Linked DNA regions of Diceros bicornis minor. The protein of the gene in region 2 interacts with the protein of the main gene of each other region in a pairwise test. Links are inferred from orthologs where the notes say so. Each region holds a gene or a part of one and is shown on either strand. Other genes may lie near its edges.

Region 1 (6,730 bases), on a different chromosome or scaffold from region 2:
CCTATGTAAAATGTGATAACAGTATCTACTTCTGCGTAATCATGAGGATTAAATGACAACTCAAATAAAGTGGGTAGAACAGCACTCTTAACAAGCCCTCAATAAATGTTATGTTTGATGATGTACCTGCCCGGAACTTACCAGGTCCCTCCCATTGCTCCGGCGAGGTTTAGAAACTTTAGGCAACACTATCCCTTCCAAAATACTTTTATTAAAAAAAAAATCATTACAAACAATCCAAAAACAAACAACAAAAAAACCACCACGAAACCCGCCTTTCTTTTAAATAACGCGGCATGGAGCAGTTTGTTTCCACCCTATTGCACGTGGTCCGGCCTCGTTATAAATCAGGAGGCTGCTGGGACTGGGGTCCTGCCAAGGAGGTGGGGTTCAGCCTGGGGGGAGGCAGCCAGCCCCTCTGGCTCCCTCTAGGTGCAAGAGGCAGAGCCTGGGTTTCCATAGCAACCAGGCAGCACATCCCCGCCATCCTTGAACAGGCCCAGTTTGTCTTCCCTGAGGCCCCAGTGGTCACAAGGGGAGTAGGAACTGGAGGGAGAGGCAGAAGAAATGTGGAAGTGGGAAATCAGACTCCCAGAAACAGAGCCTCATTAAGGCATTTGGAACAGATAAATTAATTTAGGAGGACCCACCTTCACAGAAGGCTGCGGTTACCAGACACACACACACATGCAAGACGGTTTGTGGAACCCTGAAATGGGAGGAAAGGAGGCCAGACACTGCTTAGAGCCTCCACCAAAACACACACACACACACACACACACACACACACACACACACACACACACACAGTTGCATCCAGGGATCCAGCCCACTGAGGCTGAGATGACGAAGGAGCCCGCTCATCAGTTTTAGGAGCCCAGAATAATTTCCATGATGTGATCTAGTTCATTCCACTCCCAGGACCCGGGGGCACAGAAGAGGCTGTGAGGAGGCTCCGGTGCGGCCAGTGCTGGCTCCTTCTCCACTGTGGACGTGTCGATGTCCAGAAAGAAGTCATCCAGACCAGAGTCCCCCAGGTACTGGGAGCTTAGAGCTTCTAAGAAGACTGGATCCGGCTGGGGTAGCACTTCATTCTGGGGGCTCACGGGAGCCACTGGATTCTGAGGGGTCTCCGTCTCGTCCATGGAGGTCTCCAGCTCCCTGAGAATAGAGCCGATGGTGGCTGACAGGGAGAAGTCCTCCTCACCCAGGAAGAGGGGCTCAGGGGGCAGAGCTGGTGCCGGAGCCAGGCACAGCGCGGCCTGGAGCTGCTGGAGCGTGTTCTGGATGAGGACATGCCTGCGGAGGCTGGGTGCTCGGGGGCCCAGGCTTCTCTGGACCTTGTCTAGGGAGATGCGGAGCAGGGCTTGCTGGTAGCTCCGGAGGCCTGCCGGACCCCAGTCCCACTTCTCATCCTCCTCCAAATCTGAGCGTTTCCTCTTTAAGCCTCCTACCATGATGCCCTACAGAGAGAAGAGCAAGTCAGACATAGCAGGGCTAGTTCAAATCCAGAATCTCCTGTATGGGTGTTTTACCTCTTTGAGACTTAATTTCCTCATTTGCAAGATGAGAATCCTAAGTTAAATCCCTCTGAGTCTTAAAACTGTTCTTTCCACAATACTCATTTCTTCAAATGTGACCCACACAAGACAGGTGTGGAGTACAGAGACGTGGACCAGAAGTAGGGAATCCTGGGTTAGAATTCTACCTTTCAGGCTGCTCAGCCATGTGATCTTGGGAAGTGATGTGACATTACCTCCCTGGGCCTCAGTTTCCTCATCTATAAAATGGGGATTGCAAAAATTCTCACCACATCGCCAAGGAGATCCCACGTGTAACATGCACAGGGCCCACCATACAGGAAACACTTAATGAACAGGAATTAACTGCCATTTATTCAATATCTTTATTGGAGCGTCTACTATATTCGAGCCACTTAGAGCCCTCTTAGGGCACCTATTTGTCGAGACTCTTCTTTCGCAGGGAGGATGTTTCAGTTCATGCCCTCTTCCTGAGAGCGCTCCCAGCAGTAGGAAAGGGACCGCCCTCGTTCCCTCCGTCCGCGCCTTAAACTTCCCCAAAAGCGCACCCGCCAGGGACACTTGCAAGAACGCGACTCACACCAAGCTCCGCCCCCTCCCGACTCATCCAACCAGACCTCGGCCCTCTATAGGCCCCGCCCCTTCACGGGTCTTCATTCCGCATCCAGCCCCGCCTCAATTTGGCCCAGGGGTTTCTGGGAAATGTGGGCTAATAGCCGCCAGGTACGTGCACTGACGTGGAACGTGCACTACAATCCCCAGGAGGCTCGGCACGCCACAGGGACGAACCTCCCGCCCTCCCTCAGGGCATGCGCACAGGGGCCCGCGGTGGGTGGGGGAAGGGAACCCGGAGGTCCAGCTGCCGGGCGCCTGCCGAGCCCCGCCCTCCGCTGCCTCCAGGGCGGCGGGTCTGAGCTCCACGCCCGGAACACCCCTCCCCCACCCGAGTGCGGCTCTAAAACTGCTTTCTGCCAGTCCTTCGGACCCCAGAAGGTCCTGGATTCTACCCCCAAACTGCTCTGGGGTCCAGAGACCCAGGCCCCAACACATCGCTCAAGACTACAAATGCTCTCCGATTCTCTCCGTTCGGGAGACTAGGTATCTCAATTTTGAGATCTTCCCCTGTTACCTCTCCCTTATTCTCCCATCTTTCAAACGCCTCTGGACTTCACTTCCACCAACTCCCCCTCCAAGACCTGAACGTGAAACTCTTCCCGGCACTCCCGCTCCGCGACTGCGCCTGGGAGACCAAGATTCCTTGCCGCTAGTTCTCTCACTTCTCCAAATGCCCGGGACCCCAGCCCCAAGCCCTCAGACCTTTTCCAGAACACGAGAGCCCCGAATTCAATCAGTCCGGGAGACCTGAATTGTCCTATCTCCAGATTCCCTGCCCCAAAAAAGTTCCTTTCCTGGTTCTCTCGCTTCTCCAAACACCCCAGCTTCAAACTCCCTCTACTCGAGGACCCTGCTCCAACAACTTCGCCTCCCGTCCAAGATCTCGAACTCGGTCTCCGGTCCCCAAACCCTTGAAACCCTATCATCACCCTTAATCTGCGCCCCCCCACTCCCGCCCAGACCCCGCCTCCACAGCTCTCGGGGGCGCGCCTCCACTTCCCCCGACCTAAGGCAGATCTCAAGCCGGGCAGCCACCCCTCACCTCAGCTGCCGATGACCACCTCCTGCAATGTCCGTAGCTTCGCGACCCTCCAGGGCTGGGTAGGGGCCTCGTTCACCTCCGGGGCCTCTCTGTCTGGCCTCCGCTCCCCCAGCTCCGCCCCGGAGCCGAGCCGCGAGCCGCGATTGGCTGGAATCCTGCCCGCCGCGGGGCGCAGATTGGCTGGGCGGAGCCACCCGCCCGTCTCCAGGAGACGCCCGACCCGCCCTCCCCTTCCTTGCGCCCGGACCATTTAAAGGATTCCGACCGGCCAGGGGGCGGGGCCGCGTTCTAGGGTGGAAGGTGGCGGGGACCTCAAAACTATTTCCTTCAACTCAGCTACTGTCCTAGCTCCAAGATCGTCAGCATTGCTCTCTGTGATCCCTTTATACCAAGCCTGGACCCCATCGCGGAGGAAGACTGAGGGGCACGCGCGCCTCCTCACCCCGCTTTCAGGGAGGGCGGGGCCGAACCACTGGCGGAGGCCGCGCCCCTGGGGTTCCGAGGCGGCGCTGCGCATCGGGGGAGGATGACGCAGCTGACGGCCAGCCAATAGTTTGGCGCGGCCTACGTTGCCTGGGCGATGGCAGCCCCGCCCCTTCGCTGCCCCTGTCTTCCTGCTCCCCAACATTTTACCCCGCGGCGCCCTTCTTTTTTTTTTTATTTTAAACTTATTCTTAAATTATACAAATAATTATAAATATATCCTCCTTGTAAAAAATGAAAACATTATTGAGAGATTAGAAGTTTCCTCTGACCATCCTAGCCAATCCTGGGCCCCTCCCTACCCCCCTTTCCCCACGGGTAGCCCTCTTTGTTGGGTTTGAAGTCTTACTTCTAGACCTTTTTCTACGCATTTATGTGCATATATATGTACCAATAGAAAATATATCGTATTGCCATGGTTTGTTTATGTTCCTTATTTTAACTTCAGATCACTATTGGGATCAACACTATAGCTGGCCAGGTCTCCTAAAAATAAGACAACAAAAATCTGAACTCAAGTTCTAGAGCAGTTTCCCTGTGTCCCATGAAGGCGTTTTGAACCACTCTATTGCGCTTAGATCTAAGTTTTAAATAGAAATGTGCTTTAGAGGCGGTTGTTTAGAATGGTGAGGCTGGGGTTCCACCAGCTGAGAAGCATTGAGTCAGGGCTGACCTCATATTTCTGGTTTTCCAGCTCAGTCTCAGTGGATTCACAGCTAGGATGAACCTGCTCAATTGTAGGCTCAATTCCCAGCCACCAGGGAAACAATGGTGACTCTTGTGTCCCAAAGTGACCCTAGTGACCATCTTGTCCTGGCCTTCATCCATCACTGGAAAATCAAAAGCAACAGTCTTTAGCAAGGAGCTTCAGAACATCTCTCCAAGAATTGCTGACTCTTCCTTCTGCGGCGCCCTTCTTAATCATCAGGACTTCTCAGCCCGTCTTCTCGTGGTCCCTCCTGCATCGTCCTGACACCCTATCCTTCCTCTTTCAGGATGACACCTCCGCTGCTGGAAACTCATTCACGGCTCCCACTGCCCTGGGGACGAAGTCCAAACTCCTTATTTTTGCTGCAAAGCCCTTCACGGTCTGGCCTGATGCACACTCCTCCTTACTCCCTACTATCCTGCCACACCGATTCACTTTCAGTTTTTCTAAAATGGCTTCAAGTGCCCTCCACCACCATGACCGCGGAGATTTTCTGTTTTCTTCTCTGCCTTATCCCCAGGGCCTACAACAATGCCAGGTCCATAGCAAGTACTCAAAAATGAGAATAAAAGGCCTCTAGGTCTTTAAACTTGTTTCCTAGTCCTGAAAATATCCCCTCAATTCCTAGGCTGCCTCTCATCAGAACTCATCTCAAAGGTTGCCTCCTCCTAGAAGCCCTCCCTGCTCTAGGGTGGGTTAAGGACCCATTCTGGGCTCCCAGGGTGTCCTGTGCTTTCCTCATCGCGGCCCTGACCCCTCTGCCCGTGCCTCCCCCATCCTAGCCCTGGGCTGTCACTATCTGGACTGTGGGCACCCTGAGGACAAGTACCAAGGTTATCATAGCCACCCACTGCTTGGTCCACAGCATCACCTAACACAAGACTGGACATAAAGCAGGCGCTCAGTGAAAGTCTGTTCAATGTCCAGAGTGTGACAGAAAGAGAGAGGGCAGAAATGAAACAGCGCGTGTGCCCTGGAAGCCTAAACCAGTAGTGCCCCACCCCCATCAAGTTTTCACTAAGGGGAGGGGGAGGCGGTTTTCTCCAGGCTACCCCTGGGACTGGAGGTTTAAGGCTCCTCAGACCAGTTCTCACCGGTTGGAATTTGTCAACCAAGTCATCCTGCTGTTTGCAGAGCAGTGTAGGGTTGGGATGGATTTTGGGGAGGGGGAGGGGAGAAGGTGTTGGGGGGTAGGTGGGGGTGGCTGGATGTAGGGAGAGAGGAGTAGCTCACGGCAGGTCTGGGAAAAGTGTCTGTGGGGAACAGAGGCAGGGTGTGATTAGGAAGGGGCAATTCTGCCCTTTCCCCCTCCCAAGCCTGTCCCTCCTCTAGGGTCCCTTTCTCAGGGACCTTTCCCCCGTCCCCAGGTTACAGCCCTATGCTTCTTTCTGGATGCCTCCTTCCCCTCCCCTATGGACCATCAGGCTCCCACCCACTCTCCCTTCCCCTCCTCAAGGCCTCTGCCTTGGTCCCCAGGGCTCCCAGCCTCCACTCTTGCCCCTTCCCATCCACCTTCACACAGTGGCCAAAGAAAGCTTTCTAAAACACAAACCTGACTGTGCCACCTCCCCACCTCTCCCCTGCTCCATTCCTTGGGTAAAACCTCAGACTAAAGCTCAAACTTTTGACTCCACACAATTTAGCATCCATGGAACAGCCTCTTGGGTCTGACCACTCCTCACCTCCGAGAAAAGTCTTATTAACTGTAGGGGATGGATTTTAGTTCCTCAAAAGGGCCACATGCTTTCCAGCCTCCTGGCCTTGGCGCATGTGGTTCCTTCTGCCCAGAAAGCCATCATGCCTTAGAACCTTCTCCTGGCTCATTCTTACCCAACCTGGTTTCAGGTGGGCCATCCCCTCTTCCGCAGACCCTTGTCTAGCTCCTCAAGCTGGGTCAGGTGCCCCCTCGGGGCTCCCTCAGCCCTCGCTCAGAGCCCTGGCCATCAGAGTTGTCACTATCAGGGGCACGGCTGCCTTCCTCACTGGACTGTGACACCTGTGAAGGCAGGGTCACCACTGGGTCCTCACAGTGACCCCTGGGTCCCTAGCACAGGGCAGAGCACAGCACAGTGACTCAATAAACTGTGACTGAGGAAATAAATGAATACCCAGAAAATCCTACACAGAGCCACTAAGACATCCAGACAAAGCCAGAGAGGAAGAGTCCCAGGGTTGGATCTTCAGGAATAATTGGAAGCTCTTGGTTCAAGATTTATTGCTCCTTTCCTTTGTTCTCCATTTCCAAGGATGCTGTCTTCCTGGGTGGGCCGACGCCCTAATCATACTGGTGGGAGGGGTAGGTGCTGTGGCCGTCATACTCATCGGTGGTGAGGCAGCGCA
Region 2 (7,058 bases):
ATGCCATCCGTCCAGTCGGCAGTTCATGTTTCCTAAGGCTTTTTTCTTTCAAAAGTCACTGTAAATTAAGCAAGAATAAATGCCCCTGTTTTGGATCCTATCTCAGCTTTCACGCCAAATTGTCAACTGCGGTGTTTTTAACAAGCGGAGATGCATTTCCTAATCTGTAACACAATCTCCTCAAGGTCGCTGTAGCGAAGTGAAATAACCACATTTTAAAATCTACCTCGCTGTCGTCAGTGATTATCGTCTGTCCCTGCACCAAAACTGATCTCTGTGCGACCCAGATGGGACTCGAACCCACAATCCCCAGCTCCGGAGGCTGATGCCTTATCCATTAGGCCACTGGGTCACCACGAGATCCGGGTTCTCACACCGTCTTCTTACGTGATGCCATCATCGCGCCCCGCCCTGCCCTGAGCTCCGCGGCCTCGCGTCGGGCGGTGTGTGATTTGGGAGCCGCCCCTAGCGGCGACGGCGCGCGCTTGCGCCCTCGGCTCGGACTGCAGGGCGAGCCCCCGCGCGCCTGCGCGGGGCCCTGTCCGCCCCGCTGCCCTGGGCTTGCGTGGCCGGCACGCGGACGGTTCTGGGCGGCCTCCTTCCGGGTGGGTTCTGTTCGCTGCGCGGACTGCACATTAGGCCCACTTGGGAACTTACCACAAAATTCCAATGCCTGTCCTCCCAACGTTCTATTTCTGTTTATCTGGCTGGGCCCGGGCGTCTGTATTTTACAAGTTCCCCAGGACCTTTCTCTGCCGCCGGCGTTAGGAACCACTCGCGGGGCGTGAGGGCCTCCGGCACCTGCCCCCTACACCCAACCCTCCCGTCCCTTACAGGGCCTTCCTTCCCTTTCTTTCTTGCATTTATTCAACGTACATTAATTTGATAATTATGTGCTGGGGACTGTTGCGGGATTCCAGGGTGAACAGGCTTTTCTTCAAATTTGCCCTTCTCCCCCATTCGTCTACATCCACTTTCCTCCCCCTCTCCTCTTCCCCTCCAGGTTAAAGGGAAAATGAATATAACAAGGTCCCTGAGTACAAAATAATACGGATTTTTGTTTGTTTGTGTTTATCCTAAAGCTGGGTTTTGGATAAAGATTTAGACTTTCTGGTTCCATACACAATATCTCTGTGCTTGTTGCATGTAAAGATGCTGCATTTGTGGCTTTTAAAAATATGCAATTTAGTTTTCTTGTTAGACATACAATACCTGTTCATTGTAAAATTGTATAAAGTATGGGAAAGCCAAACGAAGAACATTGAAATTGACCATAATTCTACCATTCGGAGTTAACCACTACCAACATTTTGATGTGTGTTTTTCAAATCTTAAGTGTCATTGTGTCATATGTCACTGTTTTATTACCTGTGGACCCTGACTCATCCAGGAAATGGTTTTCATGAAAGCTAGGACATTACTAGTGAATAATAATTCACTAATCATTCAGCACTGATGGTGCGGAAGTGATGGTGGGTAAAACTGACACCTTAGTGAATCAAGGCAGTGGCATCAAACTAGTAATGGTGTCTTCTTCACCTTTGCGCACTGGCTGTGGGGGGGGGGAGCCAGCTTCACTTAAGAATGTCCTTGATAATCATATAAGAATTATTAATTGTATTCAGTCTTGACTCGAGTACATATCTTTTTAATATTTTGTGTAACAAAATGGGAAGTGTGCATAAATCACTTCTACCACATACCAAAATACAGTGGTTGTCTCCTGAGAAAAACATTTGTGTGATGTTTGAGTTGCAGGCTAAACTAGCTGCTTTTTCAGTGGAACATCGTTTTTACTTGAAAGAATGACTGACAGACAAACTATGATTATTCAGATTTGGACACACTTGGGTTTGGTTCTCCAGAGCAGCTACAGTCTCAGGCGCCCATCATCACAGCACACAGTCCTGTGGAAGAGAGAGGCTATCTCACTCTCAAGGGCCTCAGTAAACTTTTTACTGTACTGTGTTAACATCTTCATCACCAAACCAATATGGCTGTGTCTCTGCCATAGAATGTACTGATTGGCCTAGGCCAGACAGGCCCTCTCCTGAATCTCTGTCCAGACTACAATAGCTAAGAGTAGAGGATGTATGGTTCCCCCTGGGCAACATTGTGTCTTTCAAAGGCAACTTTCACTTTTGACATTATACTTCCGTTTCAGGTTGTTTTCAGGTACAAGTACAGAATAGTGATTGAGAGCATGGATCCTGGACTAGACAGCCTGGGTCTGAATCCTGTCTCTGCCACTTATTCATTGTGTAAACCTGGACGAGTTACTTAACCACTCATGATTCAGTCTTCTCTTCTGTGAAATGGAACAGATAATAATACTACCTCGCACAGTTGTGAAGATTAAATGTATTAATATATGTAAAACAGAACACTTCTGGGCACATAGTACTCAATATTTTCAAGCAAAAGAAAACCCAATTTAACTAGCTTAAACAACAAAGAAAGTGTATCAGATGACATAATCACAAAGTTGTATAATTGCAACCTTCAGAGGTAGGGCATGCTGTCAATCAGAGCTTTCATGGTTTCTCCACCACTGTCCTATTCATACTTCCAGGAGTAACATCCCTCAGTTCAGAAGAACAGAGCCTGCTTTCCTACCTGCAATCACTAAACAAAAGGCATAGGCTTCCCAACTGGATGAATTTAGGTCACATGCCTGCCCCTGAACCATTCACAGTAGCCAAGAGAATGCCCTGCAATGACTGGCTTAGGGGTGAATTCCTTCCATGTTTTTGCACTTAGAGTGGATAGGATTCTGCTGATTGGGTAGGTGGGAATAGAATCAACCTCCTATGAACCACATGCTGCTACACAATGAGTGAGACTGGCATAAATGCCTGCAAGACGACTAAGTTCACTGTTTCAATTCATTTATAGCAAAAAATAAATCAACACAACTTTTTAAAAAATCCTTTTTCAGAATACAGAGAAACAGCAGAAAGAAAACAAAATGGCCCACAATCCTGATGCTCTGATAACCCTCATTGATGCTTAAAGAAAAGTACATGGCAAGAAAATGTAAACATTTTATTCAGAAATGTATAAAATACAGCATAGATCATTACTAGAACAATTGGCAAACCTTGAACATGAACTATATAATTAATAATAGCATCAAAGTTCAGTTGTCCTGAATTTGATGATGGTGGTGTGGTTATATAAAAGAATGCCCTTATTTTTAGAAGATACACGCTGATATATTTAGAGGTAAGGAGACATGATTTTTGAAACTTACTCTTAAATCGTTCAAAAAGTAATATGTAAAAGCCATATATATATATGTATGTGTGTATATGTATTTACATGGAGAGAGACAGAGAAATAAATGTGGCAAATGTTAACGTTTGGCAAATCTGGGTAAAGATTTGCAATTCTTCTGTACTGAAATTATTTAAAAATAAGTGTCTGGAAAAACAGGCATAATAAACCTTTTGTTACCATATTTGTGGCTTCTTTGCAGTCTTTTATGACACAAGTTTTAAAAAAAAAAGAGAGAAACTAAAAAATGCAAGACAAATCTGCCTTACTCCTCCCCTCCATAGTGGCCAGAAACCCCTGCCACGTTCCTTCTGTGTCCTATCAGGGAAAAAATGTATATCAATATTTTTCTATATGAAGATTTTTAAAAAGAAAGATTTTGGGAATCATCTGTGGTACGTGGTTAAGGCCACCCAGGAAAACGACCAGCGACCTTACTCGCATAAACCCTCAGCAGCGACCGGACCATCCAGCCAAGGCGGGGCTGGGAACCGGCCCTTCGCGTTGCATGCCGGGATCTGAAGTCTTTCCACTAAGAACTGCAAGGCGCTCTGGGATCGCCCGGCCGCTCCCCCATCTCGCGATGTTATCCTCCCTTCCTCTGGGCCCTATGATCACCACCCCTCCCCAACGTGTTTTTCAAATCCACCAATGGACGCACAGCGTCTGCTCGAACCAGCCAATCGGAATGCGGAGCCACCGGGAAATTTAAATCGCGCCGGCAGGCTGCACGAGCCACACCGTCTTCGGGTTGAGCCGTGGTGGACGTTTTGAGGGCATCCGATCTGCAGCCTGTGCGTCCCGCGCCGATTGCTGTGGAAGCCTGACCCGGCTGTGAAGGTACGAACTCAGGCCGCAGCCTGGCCCGAGCGGTAACGGCTGGCCCCAGGCCGCGCTTGGCTTTCGGGTGGCGAGAGGGGAGGCCCGGGTACACGCCCGGCCTGCCTTCGGCCTCCCTCGTTGGCGAGGCCTCGGGGGCGCCGTTGGTTGACTAGGCGGCTGTTCCGCGATGCGAGTGCGTGGGTTGTAGGGCGCCGAGGCTCTGCGGACCGCAGCGGGAGCCCTTGCGGCCCGGAGAATCTCCGTTAGGCCCGAGGGCCAAAGTCCGGGAGTGGGCCCGGCGCCTCCGGCCCCTCCTCCGCCGGTTCCCCGCCGCGTCTCCCCGGGGTGAGGGGCAGGGGACGGGACCGGAGGTGGAGGCGGCAGTTGGAAGGACTCGCTCCTTAACACGTAGGCGCTGGGTTGGCTGTGGCACAATTTCGTAAAAGAACATAGTGGAATTAAAGATAACAGATCGTAGGGAGGACTTTTACTTTCGTCACCTTTCAGAGATTGCTTTTAAGGTATCTGAGTCTGAATGAAGCACCATTAATATCAGCCCGATTAAGTGCATTCACTCGCGATTCCTAGAAATGAAAATGGGTGCGGGATGCTGGGGATGCAGAACTGCGTCGCAAGTTTTCAGTGTTGACAGGAAATGTGATGGAAGACTCCATAATGTAATGATGAACCAAATTTTTCTTTAGTTTTCAAGTGAGAAATTTCAGGGAGAATGTAGCTATTTTGGCCATTTAAAGACAATAGAGAGCCTCCAGAGAATCTGAATTTATTGCCCCTAGGACATAGATTTTAACAGTAAGGTCAGTTCCCCTGCTTTGTCTTCAGTTGGCTCTTTATGGACTCCGTATAGAGTCTAGAGCCGCACTGTCCAGTGTGATAGTCACTAAATGTATGTGGCTCATCCGAAGTGAGATATGCTGTAAGCTTCAAGTGCAGGCAAGATTTTGAAGAACTAGTATGAAAAAAATAAAATATCTCAATTTTTTAATGTTGTAACGTGGTGAAATGAGAATATATTGGAAGTGTTGGGTTAAATAAAATATATTATTAAAATTAATTTCACGTAATTCTTTTTGCTTTTTAAAAAATGTGGCTACTAGGAAATTTAAATTTATGCACGCTTGCAACATATTTCTGATGGACAGCACTGCTCCGGGAAGTCTCAGCCCCTTCAGAGGGGAGGGGACAGATATCATTTGGCCAAGACTATTTCATAGTGCTCAGAAAGGAAGTTTGTCCTCTAACAGAGAAGTGTAGATTCAATATATGCTTGGTAATTGTGTTGATGCTCTTCTTATTGACAAAGCAAAATGATAAAAGGGAAATTTTTTCTCTCCCCCATCTTAGAGCTTTCTCCCTTTGTCTCATAACCATGTCCACGAATGAGAATGCTAATTCACCAGCTGCCCGCCTTAACAGATTCAAGAACAAGGGTAAAGACAGTACAGTGAGTACTTTCTGTTGATTTCCTATGGTATTTTTTAAATGGGAAGATATTTGAGAAGAGGTCAGAACTTTGAGGGAATTTGAAAAAATGCCCTCACTTGGCAAGAAAAACTAATCTAATAGGTGAAATGATGTGTTATCTTTTTGCAAGGAAATGAGGCGGCGCCGAATAGAAGTTAATGTGGAGCTGAGGAAAGCTAAGAAGGATGACCAGATGCTGAAAAGGAGAAATGTAAGCTCATTTCCCGATGATGCTACATCTCCACTACAGGAAAACCGCAACAACCAGGTAAATATATTTTAGCTTCTGAATTATGGTAAACCCAGAAAATCAATATGGGGCTTTTCTTAGAAATTTAACATTCCTGGCTTTATGGTTTTAACTCTCAAATCTGAAGATCATTTTTTCTGCTCCCAATCAGTAATTCTGATGGGTTGTCTTCTTTCCTGCTCACCCTCCATAATCTTTTGAAGCTGATTCCAAGGTTGTCCTGAGTTCCAATCTCCTCCCTTCGAGTTTTCCAGCATTTCCAGCTGCCAGCTCGGTACCTTAACCTGGCCATTCCAGTGCTAACTGAAATTAGTGTATCCAGAACCAACCACTTTCTGGCTTATTTCTACCTTTTTTGATATTCTCTATTTTTTGTACTTGTCACTAGCTTTGTTCAGGGCTTTTTCTTTCTGAAATATTTTCAGTAGTCTCCTAATTTATCTTTCCCTTCATTCTATGCCACATACTATTTACTTAAAAATTTTCCTAAAATTCTGCTTTAGACATGTTCTTTCTTTGCTTAAAACTTTGATGGTTTTAAATCCATATTATTTGAAGGTTTTTTTAAATTAGACCCATCGTAGATTTTTAAATATCTCTCGTTTTTAAAAGATATTGGGCACTTTCCTACCTTTTATCTCTGTCGCCCCCCCCCCCCCCCCGAATACTACCTACGTGCTATTTCTAGGGTATTATTCTCAAATCCATCTTTTCCTTATAGCACTCCCTGGTCAGCTTAGCAGGAAAAATGCCCCCTCTCAGAATTCCTCTAGCACTCTGGTTCTGCACCAACAATGGAGAGTAAATGCTTATATAACATATATATACACATACATATATATATATACACTATTTGTTGTACGGTTGTTGATGTCACATTTTCCTTGTTAAGTTGTAAACTTCTAGGGAAAAAGGGACACTGTCTTTTTGAGTTGTCTACTTGAGTTATAGTATTGGTTCTCAAACTTTTCTACTGGGATTACAACATATAACATTTATATTTGCAGCACTATACCATGGAAATGCATAGATTATAAGGTTAGATGTGAAAATCCCCAGCACATTGCCTATAACTCCATCCCTTTTTCCCCTAAAAGCTTATGCAAGTGATTGAGACTAATGTAGAAATAACCTTCAAACTGCTCTAATTCACTTTTTTGTTTTTTCCTCCTAATTCACTTTTTTAAATTGTTCACAGCCACCTTTTTTAGTGACAAAATTCTGG

The links. The genes of interacting proteins can lie anywhere in the genome.
Region 1: the proteins of KPNA2 (region 2) and SERTAD3 interact in binary tests that used the Homo sapiens proteins (3 or more experiments, as listed by UniProt). The two-hybrid records come from large-scale screens. The link is inferred for Diceros bicornis minor from reciprocal best matches to the Homo sapiens genes KPNA2 and SERTAD3.

What each region holds. Positions count from the first base shown.
Region 1 is NC_080773.1:14,009,077-14,015,806, forward strand, and holds SERTAD3 (SERTA domain-containing protein 3), read right to left. Parts: upstream 2,084-6,730; 5' UTR 1,458-2,083; coding exon 870-1,457; 3' UTR 553-869; downstream 1-552. Other genes in the region: BLVRB (flavin reductase (NADPH)), read right to left, coding at 6,666-6,730.
Region 2 is NC_080757.1:47,461,248-47,468,305, reverse strand, and holds the start of KPNA2 (importin subunit alpha-1), read left to right. Parts: upstream 1-4,009; 5' UTR 4,010-4,116; intron 4,117-5,463; 5' UTR 5,464-5,488; coding exon 5,489-5,563; intron 5,564-5,713; coding exon 5,714-5,851; intron 5,852-7,058.